5 linked regions of the Bombyx mori genome follow. The main gene of each other region encodes a partner of the protein of the gene in region 2 in a complex. Links are inferred from orthologs where the notes say so. Each region holds a gene or a part of one and is shown on either strand. Other genes may lie near its edges.

Region 1 (6,297 bases), on a different chromosome or scaffold from region 2:
AGAGCAATAAAGATGAAATTGATAATTGGTGTTTATTAATATTTTAATAAAAAAAAATATTGCTTAGATGGGTGGACGAGCTCACAGCCCACCTGGTGTTAAGTGGTTACTGAAGCCCATAGACATCTACAACGTAAATGCGCCACCCACCTTGAGATATAGTTCTAAGGTCTCAAGTATAGTTACAACGGCTGCTCCACTCTTCAAACCGAAACGCATTACTGCTTCACGGCAGAAATAAGCAGGGTGGTGGTATCTACCCGCGCGGACTCACAAGAGGTCCTACCACCAGTAAAAAAAATTAAATGCAGGACTATAAGCTTAATTTAAATATTTATTTTGTATGCAAATGGTGCTAAAATAAAGTATGTTTTTAGCATTATCGCTTTTTCGTCTTTTGTGAACATAGATTAAAATGCCAGTTTATATAATAAAAAAATCTTTGGACGTGTTTCTAATTTAGTTTAATTAAATCAATATAGTGTAGGCAGACAATTATAGATTTTGATTTTGTAGTGGATACCAGTTACTGGACATGGGCCTTCTGTACTTTTCAGTTAAAACTGGTCGCGTTCCTGTATAATTATCCTATAGCAAGGCTCTAAAAACAGTAATTTCTTGAAACTACTTGCACCCCACCTCTCACACTGTACGTAGGTACTCTAAATTAAATTATGGCTTGTTTTATTCTGAAGTTTTTAGGCATGAAATTTTATCCAAATGCATCCAGTAGTATTTGTGTGAAGTATTAACATCCAATATCAGTAAATTTTGCATGTCTAAGAATATAAAAATATGAAGTCATAAAGACAAAATGATATGTTCAAAATGGATATTTTGTTACATTAATATGAACATGGTCAAAATAAATATATCAATTTCCTGTCTACATTCTAAAGTTAAACATATCACAGCCTGTCTTACTGATAACGATGAAAGCTCCCAAATTGTTGGTAAAGAAATAAAACACTCAGATATCACAATATGAAATGTCACTTTAATTAGATAAACCTAGTTAAACAGTAAATGTGGCTCAATGTATTACAAATCAATGTTAAAGCAGGCCAGTCTAATTACCAACAAAATGAGCCACAGCAGTAAATAGGTATGGGAATGAAACTTAATCTATCGTCCTTCGATGTAGGTAGAGAGCTCAATTTCTTCAGGCAGCTCTGTAATGTTCACATCGAAACGATCTTGTACTTGGTTTAAGATCTTGGCATCATTTTCATCAGATATCATAGTAATGGCCAGACCTTTGGTACCAAACCTTCCTGCGCGGGCGACACGATGTAGATATGTATCTGAATCTTCAGGCATGTCATAGTTGAAGACAATATTTACCCTTTCAATGTCCATTCCCCGGCCAAACAAATTTGTTGCAACCAGGATCCTTTTTTGGAAGTCCTTGAACTGTTGATAGCGGGAGAGACGCTCATCCTGGGTCATATTTCTGTGGATACCAATGGCAGGGAAGTTTTGGTCGGTGAGCAGTTGTGCCAGAGCTATGCAGCGCTGTACTGATTTCACAAAAATAACCACCTGATTGAACTCCAATACATCAAGTAGTTCGAAGAGTTTTTTATTCTTCTCATTTTCTTTTAGTTTCACATAATGTTGCTGCAGTCCATGTAGCTTGAGTTTGGCTTCATCATCTACATAAACTTCCATTGGGTCTTGCATAAATTTCTTACACACAGGTCTGATTTCTTTACTCAATGTGGCTGAGAACATCATCACCTGTTTCCCGTGAGGAGTGTTCCGGAATATCTCCTGCACATCTCGCCTCATGTCTAGAGATTCCAGCATCTTATCACACTCATCAAGGATGAAGTGTTTTAAATGTTTCAAATTAAGTTTCTTACTGTTTACTAATGCCAAAATTCTACCGGGAGTTCCCACTACAATGTGAGGACATGCTGTCTTAAGGACTTCCTCGTCTTTCTGAATTGGCATACCACCAAAGAATACTGATACTCTGACTCCTGACATATATTTCGAGAAACGCTCGTACTCCTTACTTATTTGGAAAGCCAACTCTCTGGTGTGGCACATTACAAGCACGTAAACGTGGCTCTCGGAGGGTTCCAGCTGCTGCAATGTTGCCAAAACAAACACGGCTGTCTTACCCATACCGGACTTGGCTTGGCAAAGTATGTCCATACCGAGGACGGCTTGCGGAATGCATTCGTGTTGAACTTCGGAAGGATGCTCAAAACCGCAATCAACAATAGCGCGGAGTATCTCTGGCTTAAGTAAGAAGTCTCTAAAACCAGAACTGTGGATGGATACGTAGGATCCTTTAACCTCCTTCTTTGGCGCCACTTCGGTAGACCCGTCAGCAGTCTGTTGATCTGCTTGTTCTTCATCTTCGTAGTCGAGAAGATCGTCGTTGTCAGCCATGATTTACTTTAGTTTAATTAGCTTGTTTACTGTATCGTACTCACTGTGAGCACGTGAAATTTATTTTTACAATACGATTTCACAATAATGGCGGCTTCGGCTTTTTTGGCGTCAATCCAAACTTTTTTTGTTATGTTTGACAGTTAAATATGACGTGCCACTTGGCTTTTTCGCCACTCAACAGTTTACGAGAATTAAATTTGCAATTTGATTTTTGATTAATTTGAAATTTTATTTGTGTAAAGTAAAAAGAAGAACACAGGCGAACAGCTATAATGCAATCATAGTTTTTATTTTCACGTGAGCACGTGAATAATATGTCTTTTATATGATTTTTTTCATGTCATATTATTTTTTGAAATGACCCATTTTATGAGTATTTAAAAATGAAATACTTAGAGCAGTGATTATCAAACTTATTTCTTTTACCGCCCCCTTTGAATATCAATTATTTTTCAGCGCCCCCCATTTTTTATACACCCCTAAAACTTTAAAACCACAATTTCATTAATTTAATTAATAAATGTTGTATTAATTTTATTAAATGTAGTACCACGTAGTACATATATATTTGTAGATGCTATTATTGTTTCTTCATATTATTATATGTCCGTACATTGCTACAGAGCGTGTATTTACAAATTTGCAAAGTAAAAATGAATTCTTCTCATCAATATGTTTGTTTAAATTCAGAATTACCAAAATAAATTGCTAGTTCACTGTACTATTACTATGCTAATTTATTAGAACGAAACTATTTTTGTTGAATATCTTTCTCATTAATATAAGATTCTCATCATAAGATAATTAAAAATTTATATTTCGACTAGTAAATAATACTACTAACAATAATAACTTATTAAACTACGAATAAGCTAAACCTGGAAGACGTAGAGGATTTCATTTATCTGGGCTCCGTCATAGCTAGTAATGGAACCTCCGAAAAGGACCTCAGAAGGCGAATCAGTATGGCAAAGAGGGCTATGTTCCAAATGGACTGTGCTTGGGTGGCATTTTTTTCTACGGCGCAGAGACTTGGACCCTCAAGAAAGCCGACCGCCAACGCATCGACGCGTTTGAGATGTGGTGCTGGAGGAAAATGCTCGGGATTCGTTGGACAGAACACAGAACCAACGAATCCATTCTTACCGAGCTCAAGATTCCAATGCGCCTCCGCACTACATGCGCGCGGAGGAGTTTAGAGATCTTTGGACATATCGCCAGAAAGAGAGGTGAGAATCTGGAAAAGTTGCTGGTAACAGGCAAGGTATGCGGGAGAGGGCACAGAGGCAGAAATCCAATGCGCTGGTCGGACCAAATACGCTCCACTCTCAAAACTTCAGTCCACGTTGCTATCCATACAGCCGAGGACAGGCAGGAATGGCGCAAGATGATGCAGGAGAAAGTTATTAGAGGAGGCCGCGACCCTCAGCACTGAGGATTATCGACGCAAGAAGGAAGGAAACTACGAAAAACAAATTAATATCATTTCGTATTATAGATAAATATGGGTAATTTTTCATAGAATTTTAGTTTATAATTTAGAACTGGTTCAAATAAAAACCGCCACCTAAGTCAGCGTTTTTATTATTTGTAATAATTAATATCTGTACTAATATTATAAAGAGGAAAGTTTTGTTAGTTTGTATTAAATAGGCTCCGAAACTACTAAGCCGATTGGAAAAATTCTTTCACTGTTTGGAAGCTTCACTATTCCCGAGTGACGTAGACTATAACCTTTTTTAAAAAAAAATTGGGTATCCTTACTAAAACTCCAATAATTTAACCCAAGGTGTAAAAAAAATTACCTAAAATATTCTTTACGTCGCGTGCCCTACGAAAACTATTGATGATAGAATAAAATAATGGGACACAGGAGTTTTGCTGAGTTTGCTCGTCTTGCCACCGCTCGGGTGGCGCATGTCGTCGGTAAAATCAGGAAATCGGGCCTCGACGTGACACTCAGTAAATCCGAGGCCATGTGGTTCCACAGGCCGCGGAGAGTGCCACCTATCGATGCCCATATCGTGGTTGGAGGCATCCGTATCGGGTCGGGGTGCAGTTGAAGTACCTCGGCCTCATTCTGGACAGTCGTTGGACCTTCCGTGTTCACTTTCAGAATCTGGTCCCTCGTTTGTTGGGGGTGGCTGGCACGTTAAGCCGGCTTCTTTACAACATCGGGGGGCATGACCAGGTGACGCGCCTTATACGAGGCGCCCGTGTGGGGCCAGTCACTGGCCGTGGGGGTAGCGAAGTTGCTGCAACGGCCGCAACGCACCATCGCAGTCAGGATCATCCGTGGTTATCGCACCATCTCTTTCGAGGCGGCGTGTGTACTGGCTGGGACGCCGCCTTAGGTCCTGGAGGCGGAGGCGCCCGCCGCTGACTATCAGTGGTGGGCTAACCTTCGTGCCCGGGGCGTGGCGCGTCCCAGCCTCAGTGTGATCAGAGTGTGGAGGGCCCAATCTCGGCGGTCAGTGCTGGAGTCATGGTCCAGGCGGCTGGCCGATCCTTCGGCTGGTCGTAGGACCGTCGAGGCGATTCGCCCGGTTCTTGTGAATTGGGTGAATCGTGACAGAGGACGCCTCACTTTCCGGCTCACGCAGGTACTCACTGGGCATGGTTGCTTCGGTGAGATCCTGCACCGGATCGGAGCCGAGCCGACGGCAGAGTGCCACCATTGTGGTTGCGGCTTGGACACGGCAGAGCATACACTCGTCGCCTGCCCCGCATGGGAGGGGGTGGCGGCGTGTCCTCGTCGCAAAAATAGGAAACGACTTGTCGTTGCCGAGTGTTCTGGCATCGATTCTCGGTGACGACGAGTCGTGGAAGGCGATGCTCGACTTCTGCGAGTGCACCATCTCGCAAAAGGAGGCGGCGAGGCGCGTGAGAGATGCACAGGCCCGCCGCCGTCAAGCGGGGTCCAGGGAGGCGGATCTCGCCCAAGCCCTGGCCCTCTAAGTGTTTCGGGTCTCCCTGACATGTCGACCTGGGGACCGGTGAAGGGGGCCTAAGAAGACGACGTGCAAGCTGCTCTGCACACGTTTTACGCATGAGCATCCGGGTGATGGAAGGCCGGCTATCCTCAACCAACGCTGGTTCTGACGCAGCGGGGTATTCTGTAGGATAGACCATTCTTACCGGCGCCATCTAGGCGGGTTTCGGACAGCCTGCCGACCGAGAGGGCTGGTGGTCGTGGCGCCGACGACCGCCAGTCCGGCGTCCCGAGGGGGAGGGTGATGGGAGAGATGTGCTCCGCACTAAACACTTCACTTTCCCCCCTTTGCCTTTTCATGAGTTCTGTCTCATGCGAGGTTTGGATGCTGGTTGTTGAGCGACAGGAGGTTTTAGTCGGTTCGACATGCCTCGCCCTCCATCCCCAGTGAAGGGCGGAAGTCCGGCGATTTCCTCCTGACAAAAAAAAAACGTGTGGCACTCGGGAACTGCGGCGGTAAAGCTATTGCATAGCATTTTTTATCAACTTATGACATTATAATTAGACAATGATAATTTAATATTAAAACAATAATAAAACAAGACCACGCTATATTAAACTTTAATAAAGGCAAAACCTTAACTGTCCCCTTCACACTCATAAGCTAAACCGCGCGAGAGAGAGATGGGCAGACTTTTCATGATGCGCATGCAGTGTGACGTCACGCCACGCGCTTATTCACAAACACTACACAAGCGCAACGTGTAAATGTGTTGAACGCGAGCTACATGGTAGGCGGAGTGAGGAATGTTAGGTTTTTTTTCGTTACGGAGTTTCATGATTCGGTCGCCGCGCTCAAGGTCCCCGATAAAAGCTATGCAATAGCTTAAAAATATATGAACTTGTAATAAAATCTCATTGGCTATACTATTTGTATCTGGCTGGTTTTGGTATCATTA
Region 2 (6,310 bases):
AAACACATCGTATATAAAAATTTAGCCTTCGGAACCACTCTAATCTCCATTTTATTACTATAACTAAAAAAAACGTTAAAAATCAATGTGGAACTTAAAAAGTGTCCCGATTCTCCCTATTTTACGGTACCATTAGTTTCAAAATATAAGAAAAAAGGTAAACGCTCCCGCTCAGCGTCACGCTGCGGACCCCATGGCGGGGGCTGCCCCCCTACTGTATGAGCTGGTCTGCGTACCTTGACGGCACTGTTGTGGTCGTTGATGGCGTGCACGAGCGCGGGCCGGGCCGTCACCGGCACGCTCCCGCTCAGCGTCACGCTGCGGACCCCATGGCGGGGGCTGCCCCCCTACTGTATGAGCTGGTCTGCGTACCTTGACGGCACTGTTGTGGTCGTTGATGGCGTGCACGAGCGCGGGCCGGGCCGTCACCGGCACGCTCCCGCTCAGCGTCACGCTGCGGACCCCATGGCGGGGGCTGCCCCCCTACTGTATGAGCTGGTCTGCGTACCTTGACGGCACTGTTGTGGTCGTTGATGGCGTGCACGAGCGCGGGCCGGGCCGTCACCGGCACGCTCCCGCTCAGCGTCACGCTGCGGACCCCATGGCGGGGGCTGCCCCCCTACTGTATGAGCTGGTCTGCGTACCTTGACGGCACTGTTGTGGTCGTTGATGGCGTGCACGAGCGCGGGCCGGGCCGTCACCGGCACGCTCCCGCTCAGCGTCACGCTGCGGACCCCATGGCGGGGGCTGCCCCCCTACTGTATGAGCTGGTCTGCGTACCTTGACGGCACTGTTGTGGTCGTTGATGGCGTGCACGAGCGCGGGCCGGGCCGTCACCGGCACGCTCCCGCTCAGCGTCACGCTGCGGACCCCATGGCGGGGGCTGCCCCCCTACTGTATGAGCTGGTCTGCGTACCTTGACGGCACTGTTGTGGTCGTTGATGGCGTGCACGAGCGCGGGCCGGGCCGTCACCGGCACGCTCCCGCTCAGCGTCACGCTGCGGACCCCATGGCGGGGGCTGCCCCCCTACTGTATGAGCTGGTCTGCGTACCTTGACGGCACTGTTGTGGTCGTTGATGGCGTGCACGAGCGCGGGCCGGGCCGTCACCGGCACGCTCCCGCTCAGCGTCACGCTGCGGACCGCCATGGCTGACAGCTGCTTCTCGACCAAGTGAAGAACACTTGTCCATTGTGACACGATCACTGCCTTTTCACCTGTTGAAGTTGACGTTAGAAAATTTAAAATTGTTTTAAGATAAGTGTTTCACAGGATATAGGGATTATGGTGCTAATTGTTATTGATTTTTTTTATTGCGAATTGGTAAACTTTTTGCTATAAAGTTATTTGCAAAGAACTCTACACAACCCAGGGGCAACTGACCTGGCTTAGAAAATACATTCTCTTTGAGACACTCCATGACAGCGTTGATCTTTGATGAAGGCCTGGTTAGTTCGAACACGGGATTGTTCGGACTCAGGACAGACCTTATGGCTTCGGCTGCCGTGGTGCCTTCCTCTTGGACACCTTCGGATTCATCTTCATCGTCTTTCGAACTCTGCGAGATGTTTATATTTAGTTGAGAGGTATGTAATGAAAATCAAGTATTATCAGCGACTAAAGACAGCAATAGTTTAGAGTGAGAGCGCATGATCGCTGCCGCCATTTTCGATTCGTTTCTTTATTGGCACGGCTTATACTGGGCTGATGATTAGCTGGATTAATTATTATTATGGCCTGTCCAAATCATTCTAATAGCTAATGACTCGAGTAATGTGTGAGTGAGCAGTAACTACTGGTGGTAGGACCTCTCGTGAGTCCGCGCGGGTAGGTACCACCGCCCTGCCTATTTCTGCCGTGAAGCAGTAATGCGTTTCGGTTTGAAGGGTGGGGCAGCCGTTATAACTATTCTTGAGTTCTTTAGAACTTATCTCGTCATCTCAGGTGGGTGGCTCATTTACGTTGTAGATATCTATGGGCTCCAGTTACACTTAACACCAGGTGGGCTGTGAGCTCGTCCACACATCTAAGCAATAAATAAAAAAAAAGATACCTCCTTCCGGCTGTCCTCGAGCGACATTTTGTTGAGTTCGTCGAGCAAGTCGTTGCCGGCCGGGTCCGCATCGAGGTCGGGCGCGGCGTCGTCCAGCATGGCGGCTATGAGTCCGCAGTGGCAGCACACTTGCCGCAGACGGAGCAACAGGACCAGGATCTCGTGGGACTTGACCGGTTTAGCACCTTCAAATAGAGTTCATTTTTCCCTAGCTCATCGTTGGTAGCCAAAGGGGCTATTACAATTTCATGTGGAGGGGTAGGTGAGCTCATGGGCTCAACATTGCATTGCTAACACTGGCCCTAGCAAGAGCAGTGCTTCACAGAATCTACCACCAGACCGGAATCGCGACCCACTGAGAAGCTGTAGCGATAAACTCAGTGGGTTTTTTTTTCCTACCTAAGCTGATAGCCTTGAGAGGGTATTTCAGCGTAACCTTAACTAGTAGGTGAGCTCACGGGGCTCAAACCTGACGACGTTGCTAACACGAACCCTAGCAAGAGCCGTGCTTCGCAGAATCTAGTTAGAATCTAGATAGTTTCTCGCCGGATATTCTCAGTGGAGAAGATCCGGCGAGAAAATCAGTGGGCGGTGTTTCAATGGGTTCTAGGGTATATGTACGTATTTGTTGTTAAGCATTTTTTTAAATTGAGTTTTAATATACTTCTCTTTAAGAATAGTCTGTGACGATAAGTTGATTGGGATGTGTTGGAAAATTTTAACTTTGATATAGATATGTGTTTATAGCCGAGCTATCGAAGGAATATTATTCCAATGTAACGTCTCAAAGGAGCGTTGGATTTATGCAGTTTGTTTGTTGAGATAGACACAAAAAGAATCCATATTTCAATCAGTATTATAAAGACCATTTTTGAGAAAGAGAGAGAGAGAGAGAGTATTCTTTATTGTACACCAAAAAAACAAATAAACAGTGCGATACATTAAATACAAAGAAGTACAATTGGCGGTCTTATCACTAAGAGCGATCTCTTCCAGACAACCATCAGGTGGACAAGAATCATTTGGAAACGAACTACGCGCGGTGTACTAATATATGTACACATACATACATAGACATATCCGTAAATATACATACAATTAATACACAATGTAATATAATAATAATTATTAAAAAAATCGGTTGTCTGTAAAGTCGGTTTACTGACGATAGTTGAACGTGACAATGTCATAAGAAAATACTGATGGAATGGTTTCATTTTTCAATTATCGCAATTATTGTTGCTATAAACAATTGACACCACATTCACTTTTCACTGAACTTCATACTTGACGAAAACATGCAAATGTATTATTGTATAGCAGCTGTCCACGCGGATGCATCGCTCACTCAAGTAGGAGAGAGACAGATGTCGAACGCTGCCGAACGCGGAGGCCGATTGTGCCTCTTTGTCGCTCGTTGCGCGCTCTGGCTTGCACTTCAAGCCTTAAATGGAACGCATCAGAGCGAGGTAACGCCGCATGAGTCGTGTTTTTTCGTGCGTGCAGCCGGCTCCATCGAATTATAAGACGTTGTCACGTAAAAAATTCATTTATTAAAAACTATTTTTTAAGGTGAGAATAAAGAAGACATTCCACATTATCACCATTGTTTTGTAAACATGAACATACCCTGTAAGGCGATCATTCTCTTGTGCATCTTCGCGTACTCCGAGTCCTTGTCGGGGAGAGGGGCACCAAACTGCTCAGAGTTCTTCTCAGCGCGCTGGTGGAGGAACTGAGCGAACAGTGTCTTCGAGAATACCAGCACCTGGACAAATTTAATAAATTTTTTTTTTCGGGTGCTTTGTCTTGCAAATTAATTAATTTTCATTTTGAACACTTATAAGGTTATAGCTACTATGCATTTAGGACTATTACATGATCAGTAGTAAATTGTGAGTTACTTAAATGATACACAAATTCACAAATTGGAAGAATAAAAGGCTAAACCGCTTCAAGCCTCAGTTCGGACTCAGTGAGTCGGGACTCAGGACCAATCATCTATACATATAAATAAAATTAGTGTCTGTTTGAAATAACCGCTTTTTACTAAATGCATATAATTATATATACAGTACATACACCAAAGTAACATTTTTTACATTTTTTGTCTGTCCGTGTGTCTGTTTGTTCCGGTTAATCTCTGGAACGGCTGGATCGGCTGGACCGATTTTTATGAGACTTTCACTAATAGGTAGCTGATGATATAAGGAGTAACTTAGGCTACTTTTTTTAGACTAGCTTCGCCCCGCGGCGTCACCTGCAGTTATTGTCGTACCGCGCGCAACATGGCATGGGACTGGCCTATCAATAATAAAATTTAATGTTTCCGAAGCGAAGCGAGGGCGGGTCGCTAGCTATGAATAAAGTCATCATTCAGACTGATCTTGCCTTTTGGTAAACATTCATCTCGTTCTTGGAGAGAGTGACTTGCTGCTCGTGGGTGTGGCGCTGCGGGAGACACGCCAGCTGTCCCTTCTGCTGTAATTGCATCTTCGTGCGCCGCAGAAGTAAGCAACGCATTATGGTGCTTAAACGTTCCTGCCCTCCCAAGCTCTTGTTGTCGATCCACTTCTTCCACATCTGATGATAAAGACTCGACAGTAATGAGCACGAACAGTGAGAGTGAGTTACACGAGTTACCGGTGGTAGGACCTCTTTTGAGTTCGCGCGGGTAGGTACCACCGCTCTGCCTACTTCTGCCGTGAAGCAGTAATACGCTTCGGTTTGAAGGGCGGGGCAGCCGTTGTAACTATACTGAGAACTTAGAGCTTATATCTCAAGGTAGGTGGCGCATTTACGTTGTAAATGTCTATGGGCTCCAGTAACCACTTAACACCAGGAGGGCTGTGAGATCGTCCACCCAGCTAACCAACAAAAAAAAAAGTGTGTGTGCACAAGTCACACTCGGTAGAAGTGAAACTTATAAAAAATAAACATAATCGCAAGGGTCAACCACTCTGCAGTGCAATGGAGCAGCCTCACCCTGGGGGAATCACCTGCATGATCACAGTATCCCTAGGCCAGGTAAGTATAATTTAGTAAGAGAAATACGAGAATGTCTATCAACTGTGTAACATCTTGTCACCGCGATTCAGGAATTGTTGAATTTATGTGCAGCGACATCTGCTAATAACAAACTAAATAGAAATAAAAGTATCTCGGGGCGCTCAGAGAGCCACGACAGCGTGCACGGACGTCAAAAACACACTGAACTAGTAGGGGACGCGAGACCGTGTGGAGCGCTTCATGATTTATCGGCGCCGCTCGGACCCACTTCGGCAAGCCCATCGCGGCACACTTATTTTTTCGTTTCGTTTCATTTCGTTCCATCAAGTTTGAAATCACACCCAACGATTCAAAAAAATAAAAAAAAACGTGGTACGGGACACTCACGGACAGGTCGTCGAAGGGCGAGCAGCGCAGGAACTGCAGCAGCGCGAAGAGGTCGAGGTCCTTGTTGTGCACGGGCGTGCCGGAGAGCGCCCAGCGGCGCGCGGCGGGCAGCGCGGCGGCGGCGCGGCACGTGGCCGACTTGTGGTTGCGGACCGCGTGCGCCTCGTCCAGCACCACGCGCCGCCAGCGCACGCGGAACAGCACGCCCTGCGCACAAGCGCCCTTACTGTGTCGCCCCCGCCCCGCCGCCTCAACGACATTGTGAGACACTCTGTAGCTACTACTACTACTTGGAGCCACTGCGGTCATCCACAGTGCGTTTCCAGAGGTCTTTTTTGAATGAGCTCCCCTCCACGGTGTTTCCCGAGCGCTATGACATGTCCTTCTTCAAACGAGGCTTGTGGAAAGTACTAAGCGGTAGGCAGCGGCTCGGCTCTGCCCCTGGCATTGCTGAAGTCCATAGGCGACGGTAACCACTCACCATCAGATGGGCCGTGTGCTCGTCTGCCTACAAGGGCAATAAAAAAAAGCTTTACGTAGTATTACGCCAGTAAGAGTAACGCCATCTGTCGCCGAATAGTCGAACGAATATCGAAGGACCTAGTAGCATCTAGAATGTTCGGGAAGTACAGCGGAAACTACTACTAGAAATGTGTGGAATGTTCTCTTTAATTCTAGGGATGAGGTATCTGCTATAAAAGCGTTGTAGAGATGGCACGCAGTCAGTCAGTAATCGGAACTACTCGAAGCGAAACAGCAAGAAGCGAATTGAGAGTTTTAAAGTATTTGTTCAGTGTTTTAAGTGTTGAATACAGTTTTAAATTGTACTTTGGTGAAATTTGATTTATCCCGAGCCCCAGCC
Region 3 (6,166 bases), on a different chromosome or scaffold from region 2:
TGAAGAATAGTGTTAATGTTCACTCGTCGACTGCTCATGATGTGGACGATTGTAGTATAAAACAAAGTCGCTTTCTCTGTCCCTATATCTGTCTGTCCTTATGTACACTTAAATCTTTAAAACTACGCAACGGATTTTGATGCGGTTTTTTTTAATAGATAGTGATGGAAAGAGGAAAGTTTATATGTATGATAACATCCATTAAATAGTGGGGAAATCAATAATAAATTACAGTTTCCGAAGCGAAGCGAGTGCGGGTCGCTAGTCTCTATATATAAAAATGAATTGCTGTTCGTTAGTCTTGCTAAAACTCGAGAGCGGCTGGACCGATTTGGCTAATTTTGGTCTTGAATTATTTGTGGAAGTCCAGAGAAGGTTTAGAAGGTAGATAAATGAATGAAAATGCTCGGAATTAAATAAAAATAACAATTTTGTTTTTCCTTTGATGTGTCCCCCGTCGGACGGATTCCTTTTGTTTGTTTTAAGTTTATTTTATACAAAAGTTTAGGTCTTTTATTTATCGATTGAGGCACTACGAAGTCCATTTCCCATTCAATAGATGATGGAGATTTTTGTCATGCTATTTTTTCAAATTTTACATGGTTCTCCTGTAAAGTAGCAAAAATGTCACTTAAGTCAAATAGCTTTTCGCTCGTCGATATATGCAGTCCCGGGGCTCTAGGGCACTGACTCGCGAACATGACGAATATATATATCGACGCTTGAAAGGCAAAAGTGACTAAACGACAATGCGTGAACTTTACGGTGGACTAATTTAAAGTTGAAATACCTGAACATAAATTCTATTTTAACGAATCTAGCTGTAGGATTGAAATGATTTAATAGACCTAGAAATATTTTTTTTTGCGCATCGAATATGGTTAATGCCCATCATTTGTGTACAAAGCAGTTATTGTCGCTTAGTCTCGTTTGCCTTTGAAGCGTCGATATATATTGTAAATATTACTATTATATTATATTACTATATATTAATATATAGTAATAGCTAACCTAGATCTCCTACTCTTGGAATAAGACCGTCTGCTTCTGCTCTTTGAACGACTCCTGGAACGACTCCTAGATCTGGATCTCCTTGAACGAGACCTCGACCTGGAGTATGAGCGGCGGCGGGAGCGGGAGCGGGTGTACGAGCGGCGGCGGGAGCGGGAGCGGGACCGAGAGCGGGAGCGAGAATGCAGCCGGTCGTCGTGTTCGTTGGATTCCTTCAGCTTCTTGAAGTATCTGAAACAGAGCAATGCGCTCATCATATAGCACTGGTTTAATGCGGACGCTCAACCGACACATCAGCTTACATAAACATGAGTGATTATTATTTATATGTCGCAGAAGCCACAATTATTAACACCATCGTCAGACATCGTAGGGGCGAATAGGGTGATCGAGCTAAGAGAAATATTGAGTGCACCAATCACGTTTGTTGTCTTAGGACGGAGGCACCGCTCTTCAAGAAGGCTGGTTGGTAAGTGTGATGGCGTCTACGCGCCTCCATCGGCTAGGCTCTGTCGTAGCATGAAGTTAAGGCTTCGTCAAACAGAACGCGTAATTAGAGCGCGTCAGAGCGCTAAACTGATGACGCGCTATGACGCCGAGATGTATTGTACTTCTATGGTAACGTACTGTCAAACAGAGCGCCAGCGTTATAAGTACGCAACGCTCTGTCGCGGCGTTAAGGCTAACGCACGCTAATTACGCGTTCAGTTTGACGAAGCCTTTAGCCGAGTTCCGACGATACCGCGATCGTGCTGCCATCTCTCGGGAATCATGCTGTGTTTGCAGCTACCAAACTAATGACCGTCTCCGACATATTATACTTCACTAGCTGACCCGGTAGACTTCGTAATTCCTCAATCGATAAATAAAATCGGTCCAGCCGTTTTCGAGTTTTAGCGAGACTAACGAACAGCAATTATTTTTTATATATATAGATTAGTGGAACCTGGTCACGTTCGGCGAGCTGTCACTAAGTTTTCAGAGCCCCCGCGCGCCACCTGTTGTACGACGTGATTCTATAGCAAACAACATCCCTGAAGTGTCAACGGTAACTGGACAGTGTTACAACACAATCTAACATTACGTCACGAACAAATTGACACACAAAATATTTGTTTTGACGAATATGTGCTGTAGTGGCTACAAAATAAGGCACAATATTGTGCGAGTATTCAGTGGAGGAACCCCCTCGACCAGCTCCTAAAGACATGACGTAGTCCAATGTGAAGTTCCATTAAAGCGTGGAACAGAGAGATACACATATCCATCTTTCCTCAGTTATTACAATTTTCCCACACTGCATCCACTCTGAATTTCGATACGAAAAGTGAGATGATCATTTGCAATCTGGACCTAGAGTCCATCAGTAAGTATCTACAGTCGGCATCAATGCGCCACTTCGATAAAGCGGCACGACACGAGAATCCTCTCCGGAAACTACATAGCTGATCCTGCGGACCAAATGGTTAACAGTTGACGTCGCCCAAAACACGTCATTTCGGATCCTCCCGATCCACTAACGATGCTTTTAGGTACCTCAAGCACCGGTCACCGTCCTCGTCGAACACGTCGCTTGCGGCTATGGATCTGTAGATGTCTATGGGCTCCAGTAACCACTTAACACCAGGTGGGCTGTGAGCTCGTCCACCCATCTAAGCAATAAAAAAAATTAAAAAAAAACTCGACGAGTAAATTAACCCATAGACAGCCCACTGAGTTTCTCGCCGGATCTTCTCAGTGAGTCGCGTTTCCGATCCGGTAGTAGATTCTGCACGGCTCCTGCTAGGGTTCGTGTTAGCAACGTCGTCAGGTTTGAGCCCCGCGAGCTCACCTACTAGTTAAGGTTACGCTGAAATAGCCTCTCAAGGCTATCTGCTTCTTCTTCTTCTTTGTGGCTTCCTTATTACTGAGGGTCGTGACCACCTTGGTCCAGTTTTTACACCAACTCCAATAACTTTCTCCAATGATTTGGCCTAGGGGGGCTAAATCCCTTCTAAAAAGTTTTGGGACGGAAAGGAATGGGAAGATACCGTTACTATTTTTCCCAAGAAAACCACCATGAGAAAAGTCAAAAGGAAGTTTAGCTCAGCTAGGTACGAATGAAAAAAATGGCATTAACCCCCGGGCGGCTCGATACAGACCTGTAGTACTGCGCGGTGGCGTCCGGTCCGTCGAAGTACGGCATCCGCGGCCGCGCCCCCCCGCGCCCCCGCACGCCGCGCCCGCGCCCCCGCGCCCCGCCCGCGCGCCGCGCCCACTCCGCAGGGTACGCCGCGCGGGGGTAGTACATTGAACCTACGCACATTTATCACACATTAATAACAAGCGAATCAATTCCAAAAAATATATTAAATTCGGTCTGTTTGTTAATAGGCACTGTGATTCCTAATAATGCTATGTTTACAAAAAATAATAATTAGCTTATTTTATGTATGTGATCAGAATTACTGATCACCTCACATCCCAAGGTCACAATACATCCGGACTCGCGGTTTTGTTGAGTTAGTCACCACAGGAGACCTACAAAAGCATGAAATAAAGACTGGAAAATACATTTGTTCAATAATTCATTAACTAAGTCCGCTTTCTTTGGGAAGTTTTTTTTTTAAATATCTTTCTTAAAATATTTTACCATGAGTATTATTATATAAATTATGTGGTGCAGTTCCCAGATTATTTTTAATCATAATAATAGTTGTTATAAAAAGAAGTTAGATAACACAATAGAAAAGTATCGAGGTATAGCAAGTAATTGTCACATAAGGTTGAAGGATACCTTAATCTGACTCACGACAGTCTTCACTGGACTCCTTGGAATTTTTCCATACTCCTGAACTTTGCCAGAGGCCAGGTTATCGTTACCTTCAGGGATATAAGATTCAAGTTCCAAACAGTAACATTCAGTTGGTCTACGGAGCAGTTTCAGTCCATTCCAGTATAACATTTTGTTTCAATAGTCAATGTATTATTGTTTTTCTTGTGAGTCCGCACGGGTAGGTACTACCACCCAGCCTAATTATGCCGTGAAGCAGTAATGCGTTTCGGTTTGAAGGGTGAGGCAGCCGTTGTACTATTAAAATGTGAGACCTTACAACTCATGTCTCGATGTGGGTGGCGGCATTTACGTTGTAGATGTCTATGGGCTCCGGTAACCACTTAACATAGTATGGGCCGTCGTCCACCCATCTAAGCAATAAAAAATTTAATTAAAAAGTAAATCAGTCTCTTGCACCAACAGAACACACATCTCTTAACTAATTGACTGAGTGCAGTTGTTTGTTTACAAAGATTAGTGTGAAATAATGTTGTGATACTCATACTTTGCGGTCCATAGGCATATCCTGGCGGCATGAACGCCGGGTACCCGAAGCTGTAAGGGTTCGCCATCCCGTACATCGCAGGAACTGAAATCATATTCAAAAATTATTATTTAGCAATTAAAACAAACCGGACTTCAAGCTTCTCTGACAAGTTTTTTTTTATTGCCCTTGTAGGCAGACGAGCATACAGCCCACATGATGGTGATTTTTTACCGTCGCCCATGGACGTCAGCAATGCCAGGGGCAGAGCCAAGCTGCTGTCTACCGCTTAATACTCTCCACAAGCCTCGTTTGGAGAAGGACATGTCATAGCGCTCGGGAAACACCGTGGAGGGGAGTTCATTCCATAGCCGGATGGTACGTGGCAAAAAAGACCTCTGGAAACGCACTGTCGATGAACGCAGCGGTTCCAGATAATATGGATGAACTTTGCTCCGATGGCGGGAGGTGCGATGATAGAAAGGAGATGAGGGGATCATCTCAAACAATTCCTCAGAGCACTCTTTCATTTCGGTTTAAATACAACGTCTTAAAATTTTATACAATTTTATTGAAGTAGATGACCGTAAGATTCGTTGTGTTACACATACATAAATATATTTGGTTTTTAGTTACTGTCCACTACACAAAATTAATAGCTCTAGTCCAGTTTTTCCCAACATGGGGCCCAAGTCCCACAAGGCGGCAATTTGATAATTAAGGGGGCCAATTCCACTAACTTAATATAGAAAATCTGTATTAAAATTATTTTGAATTTGAATACATTGTTATGGACACGCTCACACTGTACTATACTATATATTATTGACTAGGTATAGACTGCTATACTATATGGCACTATAGTATAGCGTAGTCTGAAAGCACCTTAAGTATGAACAATATTATTGCTTTAGATAAACGTCATCTTCATCTCGGCCGACACGGCCTATCTGGACATACAGTCCGTGCGCGAGCTCCGAGGATTCAGGGGCTGAGGGAGCGGGCGGGCGTGCACCGCGCCCGACCGTCGCTTCATACCCCGCACTCTCCCAGTACTAGTGTCGACCTTAACGTGAGAGTACGCTTACCGACTCGTAACTTTTAATTTTGCGATAGCAGTGTTATTCACGTGTGTTTCCTACTGTAAACACTACTTATACTTATAAGTATTTTTGTTTGCACGAATAGCTATTTAATTTGATGAAAAAGGAATGGCGAGCACTAGCATAATAAACATGTCCTAGCATTAGAGGAACATTACTGGAAAAAGGGTGGCTTAATGGAGGATGTTGTCGAATCATTTATTATTGAAGTACGTGAGGAGTGATAATAGTACATCAAATTCTTCAACTACTGATTAATCTGATTGCGAGAGTAATTAATAAGATTTTACGTTCATTTTGTTCAATAAGTGAGTCGTCTATTATCAAAGGCGGCAATCTGTACATTTGGACAAAATTTTTTTATTGATATGTCAATACAGATTTATTTGAATATCATCGTCTCCTTCAAAGAATACGGTTCAAAACCTGCATTAAATAAAGGTTAATAGTTAACCTGTTATTTATCTAAGATGTCGTTCCGAAGAGTTTTGTGACTGCCAATGGAATACAAAGTCAATAATTCGTTTTTCTGATTTACCAATCATTGTCCAAAAGTCAGATTGCCGCCTTTGATAATAGACGACTCAAGTATCAGTTCATTAAATTAAATGCATATGTGATCAATTGTTTTTATTTTTATTTGAAGTTCATATTACCCTCATAGAACTATTTTATAATTTACACTCGCACGGAGGCTTCAGATGTGTTAGTATCGATAGCGCAATATTGACTAATTACAACACTATAGTAGAA
Region 4 (6,840 bases), on a different chromosome or scaffold from region 2:
CGGTGACCTACATCGCAATCAAAATGTTAAAGGGAGACCAGAGTTCATAGACGTAATCTGAATATTGTCACCTTAAGACATGAGGTCTCAATTGAATCGTATGACAACTATCCGGTGACAACCAGCCAGTCAGTGTGTTAACGTATATATAGGACTGGCGGGCCGCTCCGGCTCCGCTCGGGTCTTTAACAAAAATTTCAACGATATTTGAAGCTTCATTTTGTTAAGATAAAAGAACACTTATTGCGGCATAATTATAATAGTTAGACATAATATGCTGTCGCGACACTTTTTATAAATAATAATATGTTCTACAAAGTCGTAGTACATTTTTTTTATTCTATCATCAATAGTTTTCGCAGAGCACGCGATATAAAGAATATTTTAGGTATTTTTTTTACACCTTGGATTACATTATTGGGGTTTTAGTGAGGATACCTAAATTTTTTTCAAAAAAGATTATAGCCTATGTCACTTGGGAATAGTGTAGCTTTCAAACGGTGAAAGATTTTTTCAAATCGGTTCAGTAGTTTCGGAGCCTATTCAAGACAAACAAACAAACAAATTTTTCCTCTTTATAATATTATAGTATAGGACAAGCTAGTCCATAACTTGAACGACTTACTTTCCTCGGCGCTCTGCAGCTTCAGCTTCTTAGGTACGGCGTTCGCATTCGGCACGATCGTCGACTTGACCAAGTTCCTGAAACGGCCTATGGACGGATCTATGTCTTCGGGATTGATAATGTCCACTTCTTCGTTGAAAGACACGTTTCTTTTCTGCTTCTTCGGCACACCGACCGGCATCGAAACGGTACGCTTCGTACCGGTTGTCGGCTGAAAAACGATAGTAATGTTACGCCGGTAAGAGTAACGCCATCTATCGTCCGGATAGCCGAAACGTATATCAAAGGAACTAGTAACGCCGAGAAAGATCGAGAAGTACAACGCCATCATTGTCAGATACCGGAAACACATCGAAGCTACTCGACTTGCCCAGAATGTTCTCGATAAATTTAAGAGGTCGTATCTATACTAATATATAAATCTACAGTGGTTTTTACGGATGTTCCGTTATAACTACTGAACCATGCATCCGATTAACTTGAAACTTGGTATCCACGTAGAAAATACATGTACTTAATGGATAGGCTAATATTTATATGAGTGTTGGACTCCCTACACCAGTTGCGGGGGCGTTAATGATGAGAATCTTTGTGGGGGTGAGAAATAATAATATTAATTTTAAATTCCCAGCGAAGTGGACGGGTACTGCTAGTTACTTATATAATAGGTTAGGTATATATAACAGAAATGTTTGTCTGAATTACTGAACTGTTTTAATCATACTAAGGGGGTATCATGGACTAAGAGGAACATAGTGGATGGTGACACCACTATATTTTCACTGCACAGCTATCATGCGTTCAAGTGGCAACAACTGTTACAGAACACAATTGGGACTTCATCTCAATCATTTTGGTAACCACAAAATACTTTGGGAACCATGTATGGAAAGACTCACTAGTCGATCTTCATATTTACAGCAATATATACATTAAAATGTTAAATACACTTTTTTACAAGAATATACTATTCACCTTGATAACATCAGTTCCATCTTCGGTTGATATACCAAGCATCGATATTCTTCTGTTGTGGGCTGTGTTGAATTCAGTTAAGTTCTGTAAGTCATTGTACAAAAATACATTAACAATACACAGCTACCTAAGTTCAATAAAATATTTTATGTTTATAATTTTAGACCACAGACCACATATTGGTTAGAGGAAGAGCATAGGTCTTCATGAACGCCAAATACTATATCTATAACATTTCCTTAGTAGCAGTATTCTAAGCTTATTGCCATACCGACAAGGGCTCCAAAGCATGAAATCGAGAAAGGAGTATTGAAGTCAAATCGAAATCTAACTCAATAATACACATAAATGTAGGATTGGTAAGAACGGAACGTATGAAAAGAGTGTGGAACGGAGCGTTAAGATGTGAGTGAGAGAAAACGGAAAGAAAGGGAGAAGAGAATGACAGATAGAATGACAGAGAATTTGAAGATGGCGAAGACGTTTGAAAAATGAGTAAGACATAATAAAATTAGTGTTAATTATTAATTACTATTATAATAGAAGATTTTGGAATAGTATAACTTTTATTTTATGCGCTGCGATCCCTTTTCTACATAAATTATACTAAGAACAAAATCTTACATCTAGTTCGGTTTGTGTTTCAGGCAGGCCGAGCAATGCTCCTTCAGTTTCTGTATTAGGGAGATCCTCCATTATACCACGCGATGTCCCAGTCGGGCGTTCTCTGTGAACCATTGATACATTAATTAAAAGACACTTCATAATTCAGAATCCATGAACAGAATAAATCATATCGTCTTCTCGCATTAAAACTGTATTATCTCAAAACTTACTAATTTTATAGGAGAGTGTTTTAAAGGTTTAACAGGTTATATTTTTAATATTAATCATCTTTGCAACATTATTTTTTATTTTGTACCAGTTACGTTATCTGTCTTTTAAAGTATGATAAAATTGTGTACATATTAATTTTGTTAATATTTAGTAATGACAATTTAAGTAAACCAACAAAAAAAGGAAACCAAAACTAAACTACGCTGTTTTAACAGTATTTATGAGAAAAATACTGGTGATACCAAATGATTTCGCATATTAACTCAATTTTGAATATTTTTGTAAATTGTACACTTTTAATGCATACAGACGATATATCCATTGCAGACATATTGGAACGGCTTATGGACTATAAGCTGTTCGGTTTCAAAATGGCTTATTCGTTTGCTCATCTAATTCTAATTTCCTCATATTTTGAGCCCACACAATACACCACTTTCTGCCTGTTCCTGTTACAAAAGTTTCATGCATTTCAGTTTTCAGGGGTGGGTCAAGTTATACAGCTCTATTAAGATTAACTGTAGAGTATTGATGAGGGTTCTCATACATATAATATACATATTATTATTCTCCTATGTATAGAAAGGTCAAATTAAATGTAGGTTTACAAAATATACACATGACTGAAATGTTACTCAACATGTCTGCTTAAGCTTATAAATAGTTAGTTAATTTTAATTTATGTTTCTAAAAAGTAATATTTTTTTTGTACTTGCCTTATAATATAATTCCTGGTTGAAGCTCCAAAATGAAAATTAGAATCGATCGGTAATTGTGTTGGTTTGTTTGATTCTAAGCGCATTTTTCCAATATAAGTGCCATGAGCTAAAAAGTTTGTTATGATTTATAGTTCTACAACAAATTATAAGGGAGTGTTGTGAAACACGTAGACAGGTGAACAAACTCAGGGCCATCTAGTTTTAAGTGATTAGCCTAGTACATAGACATAAAAATACTAATAGCACGTATCCTTTATGCATGGAGCAAATGTTTAAATTTTTACTACAAAAGAACACTCAATCTCATAAAACTAGAAGCCGTGACTGCATTCTTGTAAAAAAATATGACACCGACATGTATGGGATTGTAATAAGCCCTCCTACCACTCATGGTACTTAACTCATAGTAGTTTAAGAAGTAATGTCAAATGATTGATTACATCTTTTCTGATTCATTTTTTTTCTTTTTATTTATTAATCTTAGTGAATGAGAAATCAAAGGTTATAAAACTTGAAGCTTCTCACCAAAACATTTATATTGTCAGAGTAAATTTAATTCACTTTTAACTTAATATCCTACAATTTAACACCTAATTTCAGCCCAAGTGAGCAAACATGACATAAAATTATGGGCCTTCATTCAATTAGTTCAAGAAACATTTTTTTTTGCATAGATACCCATATTTGTGATACAAATTCTTATTCATAAAATTATTACGACCATACTCACTACTACCGAGGTCGACTAAAAATGATCTATTCAAATGTTTGTGGTAGACCAGAGCAGCGTGCACCCTAGAGCAGCTAGCATGATCAATGCAGAAGTCATTCATTTGAGGATTCCGTCCAAATAAATAACATTTTTTCTCGTCTATCATTAGTTTCTGAATTAATTTATCTCCTTTTAGAACGTCTAAGTGGAGTCCGGTTGGCGGCTTACCAGCCCTAAAAAGATAATCAATATTAATTATTGGTTTTTATCAATATTAATTTTTGTATTCCACTCAAAATATCATTTAGATAATATCCACTTTTCTAGTATCATATTTCAGTACCTTCCTAATCTTTGAGTAGCAGATGACTTTTAAAGTAAAATTAAAAACTGTATCTATATATTGATAGTACATGCAGTAGTGCTACATTAATTATAAGATAAAATGTTCTATTCATTTGTAACTGATACACTGCTAAACTGCCATATTATTGTTATCAATTATATAGGTTATTTTCTACAAAGACAAAACTAATGAATACATTTTTATTTGAATGCACATCAGGAATTCATTAAAATAAGTAACCCGGCGTCATTATTTTATGGTTATGTTGCTTTTATACATACCAATTGGGCACTTCATAGTGATTTGCCATTATAATTAAAATTTATAACATTATTAACCAGTTTTCAATTATTTACTAGATTAATGGTTGTGTGAAAAAATAAGGTAATGAATGCACCAGTAAAACACTTTTGGCTTGATTTGTGGACCTTTGACAGATGTCTGTAAGTAATAGTAGTTTTATTTTTCCAACTGAAAAGGCAAAGGTATCATACCATACATCCTAATCTTTTATATTTTTTTTTATATATGAAAATGATATCATGAAATGACATGAAGTTGATTAATATGAAACATGGCATGAAATGAAATGAAAACGAAATGGAATGAATGGGATGAGATGATATGGGATGAAACATAATCTCGATAAAATGGTGGTCATATAACGAGAAATATAATGAGGTGGCTATCATGAGCGCACGCTTACTAGAGTGCGCTATGGTAATGATTGCACACGGGTGCTACCTGAGCTAGAGACGCCTTTTTTTGAGGCAGCCATATTTCCTGTAAATCACTGTTTTTTTGGAAGTCAGCAAAATTAAATGTAGAATACTATTAGAATAGAATAGAATTAGAATATTTAAGAAATTATCACGTTATATCACTTTTACTTTTCTACGGAAATTCAAAAATGTTTTCTTCATCATCAGCCTGCGGCAGTCCACTGCTGGACATAGGCCTCCCCCAAAGCTCGCCACTGAACCCGATCTTCGGTTCTACGCATCCAGTTACTGCCAGAAATGTTTTCTATTAGTATTTAATCGAAATAATTCTGATTGACTCAGTTGTGCTAAGGGTCGTGGGTTCGCTTCCCACATCGCGCAAAAATATTGTGTAATGAACAGGTTTGTTCATTATCTAGCTATGTATAGATTTAAACATATTTAAGTATGTTTATCAGTTTCTGGTACCCATAACACAGGAAATTCTAAATTGGGACCAAACAACCGTGCGTGATCTGTTCCCAGTTATAATTTTTATTTAATCAACTTTGGTCCAAATGATATATTGTATGGGATATAGTCCCGTTGCCTATTCAATAGACGAATAGACATCTAAAGTCTATAGTAAGTGTATTATCTATGAAAACTTCGGCCTTAATGAAATTTTTATTTCAGGAAGAAATTATAAAGGACTTAGCTTTGGCCTTAATGACATTTTTATTTCAGGATATATTAATATATATCATATAAGACCTGACTTCGGCTTTTTTGAAAAATTATTTCAGAGAATATATAGAGCAGACAAGGCTGTATGGGCTTAGAACCCCTTGCCTTTCCTAACAACGAAAAAATGTACCAAAAAAAAAAATTCTATGAAAAAGAGTTCACCGAACAAAACAAATAAAAATTATGTTACTTGAAAATAAAATGAATAACATACTTTCATAACCAAATCAATTAATTAAAAATGGTCTCTAGTGAAGAAGAACCGGAAACAAAGCAGGACGACGCTTTAAAATGGGACGTAGATATGGAGATACAATTATTTTACGCTATGGCCAACCATAAACCAGTTGGTATAAATAAACACTTCCAAATGGCCTGTATATGGGAGAAATTATCGAATTCAGTTACCAAAGAGATATCAACCCAAGATATATGGAAACACTTAGGCAGTTTATATGATTTTACGATGTTAGACGAAGCCGAACCTATACCGTTTCCCAATCACGAAATTACGTTCTGTTTGCCCGAAAATGAATTTGGCGCCTTAATGAAACAGAAATCGAAGGAGGTTCTGGTTAGTGAAGAAACTGAAGGTAAATCGTTTTTTGTTCTTTCATTCATACTAAATTAAATGAGTCGACTATTATCAAAGCCGGCAATCTGACTTTTGGACAATAATTGGTAAATCAGAAAAACGAATTATTGACTTTGTATTCCATTGGCAGTCACAAAACTCTTCGGAACGACATCTTAGATAAATAACAGGTTAACTATTAACCTTTATTTAATGCAGGTTTTGAACCGTATTCTTTGAAGGAGACGATTATATTCAAATCAATCTGAATTGAAATATCAATAAAAAAAATTGTCCAAATGCACAGATTGCCACCTTTGATAATAGACGACTCAAATATGCTGTACAAAAATGTCAAAAATGAGAGACTTAATTAAGGCAACTGTAAACCTTTCATTTTATTTCATTTCACAAATTAAAGCAAACTCTTTAAATACTATTTGATGAATGAATCGCCTTCTCAATTCAGATATAATGAGAAAGATTTAAATTGGATCAAGGTAATTGTTGTAAAAGGGGGCTAAATTATTTTTATAACTAATTTAAATCCTTAACTATTAAATGATAATGTAATTCTCCAAAGTAATGTTGTATGTGCCATAAA
Region 5 (6,986 bases), on a different chromosome or scaffold from region 2:
TTTTAAAATACAATACTGCATTCATCCACAATGCGTTTCCAGAGATCTTTTTTGGCTTGTATGTGATTCATCCCTGTTCAAATAAGGCTGGCATTACAAGCATCCATGAGCAGTGGTAACCATTCACCAATAATAATAAAATAGTACACAAATTTAGCATTACAACTGAGGTCGGACTCCACTAAAAGAATCTAGACAAATCTTAGATCCAAGTTGAAAGTTTTGTATTAAAAATGTAAAAATACTCCCTACCCTCCTGTGAGTGAAAGAACAAATTTAATGAATATGAAGTTAATTATTGATTTGGTTTTGTCATGGAAATTTGAGATTAATTGGATTTGAATTTTTGCTGACTCATGAATTTGTCAAGAATTAACTATATCAGAAGTTGAAACATAGAATATGAAAGGGTTTTTTTAGCAATTATACTGAAAAACAATCATAATTGTTTCCATATAAAGATAACATACACAATTTGACCACAGATTTGATTTTATAGTTACAAGAATGGTATGAATCTCATGTCTGATGAATAGAGGCTAATGCTCTGTACATCACAAAAGAGAATCAGGTAATATGAAGTCAAACCCTCACTCCGCTGCAAGTTTTTACATTAATCACATATTTTTAATACAATTTTCGTTTCCTTATAGTTAATTCCCCTCAACCATTTTAACACCTTCTAAACTGTTTTTTAAACTTCTCATAATGATAATCATCAGTTGCTCTTTCCCCTTTAGCTTTCTTAACTATTTTATCAACGTTCTCATCAATCACGCTAATTTCTGTTTTGGGCACTACAACTTTTTCAATTTTTCGTTTTTTATCATTCTCCATGTTAAATCTGTTATGCTGAACGAAGTTAACGGCCATATTTGTTGGAACAAATTGAGATGGGCCATCTTTTTTGTTTTGTCTTTCCCATATTAATTTCATCTTGGCCTCTTCAGTTGCCTCAATGTTTTTTATTTTCGCGTCAATGCCTAAATCTACTTCTGGTATACCACTGAGCATCTGATTAGAAAGCATTTCTTCTGACCTCTGATTTGAAGAGACTCTCAAATGGTCTGGCAAGGAAAGTAAGGCTGCTTCCTCGGGAGACAAATACTTTAGTGTTTCTGTATGGTTGTGGTCTTTATTGTCTTTGTCACATCCCTCTGGAATTTACAAAGCACAAGTTAATTTTATATTAGTATCTAAACGATTATAAATAATACTATCAGCTATGTAGGGACCTAAATTTTTATTTTTTATTGCTTCGATGGGTGGACATGCTCACAGCCCACCTGGTGTTAAGTGGTTACTGGAGCCCATAGACATCCACAACATAAATGCGCCACCCAACTTGAGATATAAGTTCTAAGGTCTCAAGTATAGTTACAACAGCTGCCTCACCCTTCAAACCGAAACGCATTACTGCTTCACGGCAGAAATAGGCAGAGTGGTGGTACCTACCTGCGCGGACTCACAAGAGGTCCTACCACCAATAACAAACTATACAATCTATTTACCATTTCAAGTTTCCAATCAACATATCTTTGTGCATTTATTTACTGAGTAACCCAAGTTATGTGCATGTAACACACATTTTTTTTCATGGGTATGCTTCCAACTAATTATTTTGATGTGATATAAATATAAAGTATCAATAAGCTTTTTTTTTTTTTTTTTTATTGCTTTTATGGGTGGACGAGCTCACAGCCCACCTGGTGTTAAGTGGTTACTGGAGCCCATAGACATCTACAACGTAAATGCGCCACCCACCATGAGATATAAGTTCTAAGGTCTCAGTATAGTTACAACGGCTACCCCACCCTTCGAACCGAAACGCATTACTGCTTCACGGCGGAAATAGGCGGGGTGGTGGTACCTACCCGTGCGGACTCCCAAGAGGTCCTACCACCAGTGATTACGCAAATTATAATTTTGCGGGTTTGATTTTTATTACACGATGTTATTCCTTCACCGTGGAAGTCAATCGTGAACATTTCTTGAGTACGTATTTCATTAGAAAAATTGGTACCCGCCTGCGGGATTCGAACACCGGTGCATCGCTACACACGAATGCACCGGACGTCTTATCCTTTAGGCCACGACGACTTCAAAAGAAATTATTAATATCTGCAGTCAATAAAAACAGTATCACAGAGGTTAGCCCTCTTCACACTTATGCATAAAACCTGCTCCAAATATTGCACCCAAAGATACAAAACAACTAACTTATACTATCTTAATATCATACAACCTGTAAAAACAATAATTTTCATTTAAGCATACATGATATTTCTAAGAGGCATGTATGTCTAAACGTTGTTTAAGTTGGGATGTGGGTGTCTCTGTAGGGTATGTGCAATTCAATTGAGTGTATAATATACTTACTACAGTATTTACAATACAATATTTTTTACAGATTCGGACCAAATATAGAATCTTAGTGAGTGGTATTTTACATAATTGATACTAGATTTTCATTTAAGCAGCAATATTAACAAGTTTATTAAGTCTGTTTTTTTCTTCTTTTTTTTTTCTTCTTCCTATATAAACCATTCAAGATGCAATGAAACTTGGTATAGTTGTTATTGGTACTTTTGGGAGTGTTGTTATCATAATACCATGAGAATAGTTTAGCAAATAAGTGCTTATGCAGCTTAATGTAATATATGCTTAGGTGTTAGTAATATTAGTAATATCAAAATATACATATAATCCCATCTAGACACTGGTCACAACCACTACCTACAAAAAAAAAACAAATTTACATGAGTTCTAGGAAAACATGTAGATACTGTTTATTTAATGATCTTGTAATGGATCTATAAAATTAGTAATTGATTATGATGTGACAGAACCTCAAGGATGTGATATGGAAAATGCAAATACTATTTTATTGATTGATTTTAAATTTCAGTCTTGAAATAAAAAACCATTAAATTACAGTGGACCCCCTGTAATCCGACAAACGTTTTGTAAGGCAGTGTCAAACTACCTATTACATTTGTCGAATTATACAAGTACTGCCTAAGACCCCCTTTAGTCCAGATTTTTTTACAAAAGAGTACTTTATAATCCAATAAATTACAGATCCAGTAATAAGATTCTGTATGTTATATTCTGAAATGCAAATCATACTTCATTATGTATATTGAATTTAGTAAATTAAAAAATACAAGAGAAACCTTACGTTTTATTATAAAATTAACGTCAGTAATACTTTAAAACTTACAAAAAATACTTTACGAATGCCATGACGACTTTTGAAACTTTCTAGCCACCCCTTGCTGGCCATAAGCATCTTTTATTTTATTTAAGTACTTTAAAAAACTTAAGCTTTCATGGTCAAGATGGAGCCTGAAATGGGCGCATGCCTATTTGTTATCAGTAGTCGAATTCAAACTAACCTATCAAAACCAAAACAATACCTAAGCGTCTAGTACAATAGTGATGGCGCATACCAGTTGTAACCTGTTCAATCATGCATTATCTAAGTACATTAGCGAAGACTGTCAAAAAATATTCAATAATAATAGACATTTCGGATTACAAGGGGTGCCAGATTAGACAGCGGCAGGATTACCGGGGGTCCACTGTTTAAGCAAAATGTAAATTTTTATGTTTGGAAGCTCGTTAAATATTTTCAAGTAGAACTAACCTTTTCTTTTTGCAAGTTGTTCTTCGATGTACTTCATCATCTCCTCATCTTCGTCGCGTTTGTTCGTTTCCGCTGAAAATTGTGTGCCTATTCCGGTATCATACGCATCATCCACCTGCTTCAGTTTCCCGTTCTTAAGGGCTTGCATGTTAATCATCCCGCCAGTTTTAACTTTAAAAGGATCTTTACAAGTCATTTCATCTTCCAACGTTACTTTCTCGCCGGTTGCCAGGGCTATGATGCTCACCCCATTAGGTCTTTCTCGAAGTTTCTGAATTTCTTTTGTTTCTTGAAGTCTTTGCAAAATGTGCTCCTCATCATCAGAGTCTTCATCTTTGATACGCGTACGAAGATTTCTAGGCTTCTTAGATTTCAATTTAATTTCTTCGACTTGTCGATTTTCTTGAGAATCTGAATCTGCCATATTCATTATTTATGTTTGATCTTTTTACCATAGATAACTTATTTCCCTTTTTTAAAGAATGACTGCTTGCAATGTCATTGTTGCCAGTGTTGAGTTAATAAAAATCTCTAGATAAAATATACTTAAAATAAATTTTACTCTTTGAGAATAATGATTTGGAGAAGAATGAGATGAAATTTATTTATTTTATACTGTAATTATGATGAAATTAAATTAAATAAGATGCTTTAAAATATACTGTAGTCTCAGTAAAATTACAAAAATTTACTTAGATACATTCATTATATGAAAGGAAAAATTACATTTATTTATTGCATAGACGTCTGAACGAGCTCAAGGCCCAACTTCAATAAAGTGATTACCAGAGCTAGTACACATCTACAACGAGAGGTCACCTACCGCTAATTGTAGAATATAACAATTCGTTCATTTAACAAACCAGAACGTAGAACTACTTGGCGACCTAAATACTGAGATAGTGCCTATGAGGGCTCACATTAGGTAGTTATTTCATCCACTGCCAAGCTGTCATGCGTTCCAGTTTGAAGAGTAAGATGACCATTATACAACATAATTTAGATTTCTACCTCATGTCTCAAGGTATATCTCATAGCTTTCTCACTCTGATCTCTATTAGCTTTGATATCACTCAATACAAGGTACGCCATAAACTACTTTAAAGACCAATCAACAGTAATATACGTAGGATGTAATGAAACCCAAGGGAGTTGCTGGTCTCCAACCGTGCGCCTCCGTGAGAGGCGGATAATGGCAGCTTTTGGTCATCATTCCCAGAGATATGATCGCACCGATGCGGACCAAAACCAGCACGAAGTCGAGTAGGAGGGCCGTGCTCTCAATGCTCTTCATTTGATGAAGAGTGCTCCACTTAGAGAGTGAGCCTCCCGATGGCACCGATGGTTTGCCGGCGTACCGTGTGCAGTGGTACTCTGTGTTACTTGTGTTAGTAGTGAGCCGGTGCTACTTTTGCATCTTCCTGTCGCTAGTTGTTATGTTCCCGACTTCAACTACATAGTAACGCCCTCCAAAGGGAGGTACCGGTTTGCCAGCGTGGCTTCGAGATTGCTCGTTAGAGTATCGGGCCGTGATCAGCCGTGCTGCTCTTTGTACTCGGCGGGTTGCCGGCCAACCCGTAATCTTCACCGAATGGAGACGGTTGCTGTTGTCGCAAGTTACGAGGCCGCAAGTACGTAAGCCTCCGGGTGTCCTTGGGGTTTTTAATACGGTACTTCCTTACCCCGCCCGGGTTTTGACCTCGGGGGCTACGGACGCCTGAGCAAGTGCGGGGGAGTTGTTTAGTGGGTAGGGTCTCAAATGCCATTCTTGGGCCGCCGTGCCACCACCATCGTCTGCGGATCGTCCGATCCTACATACCCGAACAGCCTTTCGCGATTTCTACTACGCGAGCAGCGATTTCTACTTCGAATCAGTTGTTTGTTCCAATGATGATTATGGTTGGTTTTCAGGTCTATTTATAGTCATAGTTGTATTCAAACTTTACAAAATATCATTTTATGTTTACCATTAAAACTTTGATTTTTCCCTAGTAAATTTGATTTATTTTTAAGCTGGCAACTGAAAACACCCAACATAGGCAAACATTATATCTTATCATTCTTTTATCAATCAACTATATAGTGATAAGAAACAATAACACGAAAATCATACAGATATTATTTTCTTCGAACACGAACGAAATTCCGATTTGAATATTTCAATACAACTTTCAATCAAGTGCAGCTGTGTCGCGTTTCTTGCTGTGCAGATTACCTATTAAATAAGAAAAGAATAACTACATTATGGTGCACGATGTTATTTTACTTCAAGTACCGCTTCCAAAACTCGAAGAATTACAGAAGACGATTTTTTCTAGTGAAGTCCTCGAATTTATTGCAGCCCTACATCGTAATTTTGACAAAAAAATAGAATTGTTGTATGAGAATAGAAAACGACGAGCTGTGGAAATAAAAAATGATCCTTTTATTGATTTCAAAAATTCTCCCGAACGAAGAGACAAAAGCTGGAAAATAGCGCCTTTGCCTATTAGATTGCAGTAAGTTAAAAGTAGTATTTTAAATAATAAATTTACCCAAATTTTTCAATAATAAATAATTTACTAAATAATCAATAATACCTTAATGCTATAAAACTCATAGAAGCCAAATTTATCAACAGATATAAAATTTTATCAAGTTATGTTTTCTTAGTCATAATAGATTGCCAATTTTTCCCTTACGTTTTGCCAATAAACTAGACGGGTTATTGTGGCTTCACCTTTAAACAGGGTAGAAGTGTCTATTGTTGCATAACAATGACTGTAGCAAAATTTTAAATACCAATGCAAAACCTTATTGTTAAAATTCAAAAAAGTTAAGAGAATATTAAATTTACCGTTTTACCCATCTACATTGATCCCTTTTCTGATAAAAATCCCTTAAGTGCATGTTGTCGAACTTGTATTGCTTCGTTTAAATTAATAAAAACGAATTAAAAAAAAAATTAATAAAATTTTAGAAACAGACATTTAGATCTTGGTGATGTGTCAGCTTCAAATACGGCTCATTTCGTAGTAGCTCTCAATGAGGATGTTCAAGGGATCCAAGTAGATTTTGATGACGGTCACTGTCCAACATGGAGGAACCAACTTCTCGCTTTCAACAACATAAATTTGGCTGTGAACGGTAAACTACAAGGTGCACCGTTGACGATAACTACCTGCCCCGTATTGATGTTTAGACCCCGCGCGTGGAACATGATTGAACACAACATACTTGTGAGTAGTTATTCCTTTAGTTTTTTTCTTTTGGCAAGAGGCAAGAGGTCATACGGGAAAAAAAAGTATTATAAATTAGCAAACCTCACAGATGTTACTCTACGACATTTTAACATTTT

Evidence for each region.
Region 1: transcription termination factor 2 (region 2) and ATP-dependent RNA helicase WM6 share a complex: the UniProt entries of both Homo sapiens proteins name them as parts of the spliceosome. The link is inferred for Bombyx mori from reciprocal best matches to the Homo sapiens genes TTF2 and DDX39B.
Region 3: transcription termination factor 2 (region 2) and A-kinase anchor protein 17A share a complex: the UniProt entries of both Homo sapiens proteins name them as parts of the spliceosome. The link is inferred for Bombyx mori from reciprocal best matches to the Homo sapiens genes TTF2 and AKAP17A.
Region 4: transcription termination factor 2 (region 2) and nuclear inhibitor of protein phosphatase 1 share a complex: the UniProt entries of both Homo sapiens proteins name them as parts of the spliceosome. The link is inferred for Bombyx mori from reciprocal best matches to the Homo sapiens genes TTF2 and PPP1R8.
Region 5: transcription termination factor 2 (region 2) and uncharacterized protein LOC778507 share a complex: the UniProt entries of both Homo sapiens proteins name them as parts of the spliceosome. The link is inferred for Bombyx mori from reciprocal best matches to the Homo sapiens genes TTF2 and C9orf78.

Annotation. Positions count from the first base shown.
Region 1 is NC_085122.1:1,015,793-1,022,089, reverse strand, and holds ATP-dependent RNA helicase WM6, read right to left. Parts: upstream 2,796-6,297; 5' UTR 2,404-2,795; coding exon 1,126-2,403; 3' UTR 976-1,125; downstream 1-975. UniProt on the Homo sapiens protein: Involved in nuclear export of spliced and unspliced mRNA. Component of the TREX complex which is thought to couple mRNA transcription, processing and nuclear export, and specifically associates with spliced mRNA and not with unspliced pre-mRNA.
Region 2 is NC_085131.1:1,919,021-1,925,330, forward strand, and holds part of transcription termination factor 2, read right to left. Parts: intron 5,656-6,310; coding exon 5,449-5,655; intron 4,636-5,448; coding exon 4,444-4,635; intron 3,821-4,443; coding exon 3,682-3,820; intron 2,238-3,681; coding exon 2,053-2,237; intron 1,558-2,052; coding exon 1,383-1,557; intron 1,217-1,382; coding exon 1,053-1,216; intron 1-1,052. UniProt on the Homo sapiens protein: DsDNA-dependent ATPase which acts as a transcription termination factor by coupling ATP hydrolysis with removal of RNA polymerase II from the DNA template. May contribute to mitotic transcription repression. May also be involved in pre-mRNA splicing.
Region 3 is NC_085127.1:13,379,627-13,385,792, forward strand, and holds part of A-kinase anchor protein 17A, read right to left. Parts: intron 4,416-6,166; coding exon 4,332-4,415; intron 3,307-4,331; coding exon 3,153-3,306; intron 1,243-3,152; coding exon 1,012-1,242; intron 1-1,011. UniProt on the Homo sapiens protein: Splice factor regulating alternative splice site selection for certain mRNA precursors. Mediates regulation of pre-mRNA splicing in a PKA-dependent manner.
Region 4 is NC_085126.1:4,080,508-4,087,347, reverse strand, and holds the start of nuclear inhibitor of protein phosphatase 1, read right to left. Parts: upstream 4,660-6,840; 5' UTR 4,525-4,659; coding exon 4,496-4,524; intron 4,102-4,495; coding exon 3,887-4,101; intron 3,263-3,886; coding exon 3,154-3,262; intron 2,328-3,153; coding exon 2,225-2,327; intron 1,685-2,224; coding exon 1,601-1,684; intron 837-1,600; coding exon 626-836; intron 1-625. Other genes in the region: MRG/MORF4L-binding protein, read left to right, coding at 5,904-6,255. UniProt on the Homo sapiens protein: Inhibitor subunit of the major nuclear protein phosphatase-1 (PP-1). It has RNA-binding activity but does not cleave RNA and may target PP-1 to RNA-associated substrates. May also be involved in pre-mRNA splicing.
Region 5 is NC_085120.1:2,478,721-2,485,706, forward strand, and holds uncharacterized protein LOC778507, read right to left. Parts: upstream 3,846-6,986; coding exon 3,650-3,845; intron 1,158-3,649; coding exon 673-1,157; downstream 1-672. Other genes in the region: malate synthase, read left to right, coding at 5,894-6,147, 6,609-6,867. UniProt on the Homo sapiens protein: Plays a role in pre-mRNA splicing by promoting usage of the upstream 3'-splice site at alternative NAGNAG splice sites; these are sites featuring alternative acceptor motifs separated by only a few nucleotides. May also modulate exon inclusion events.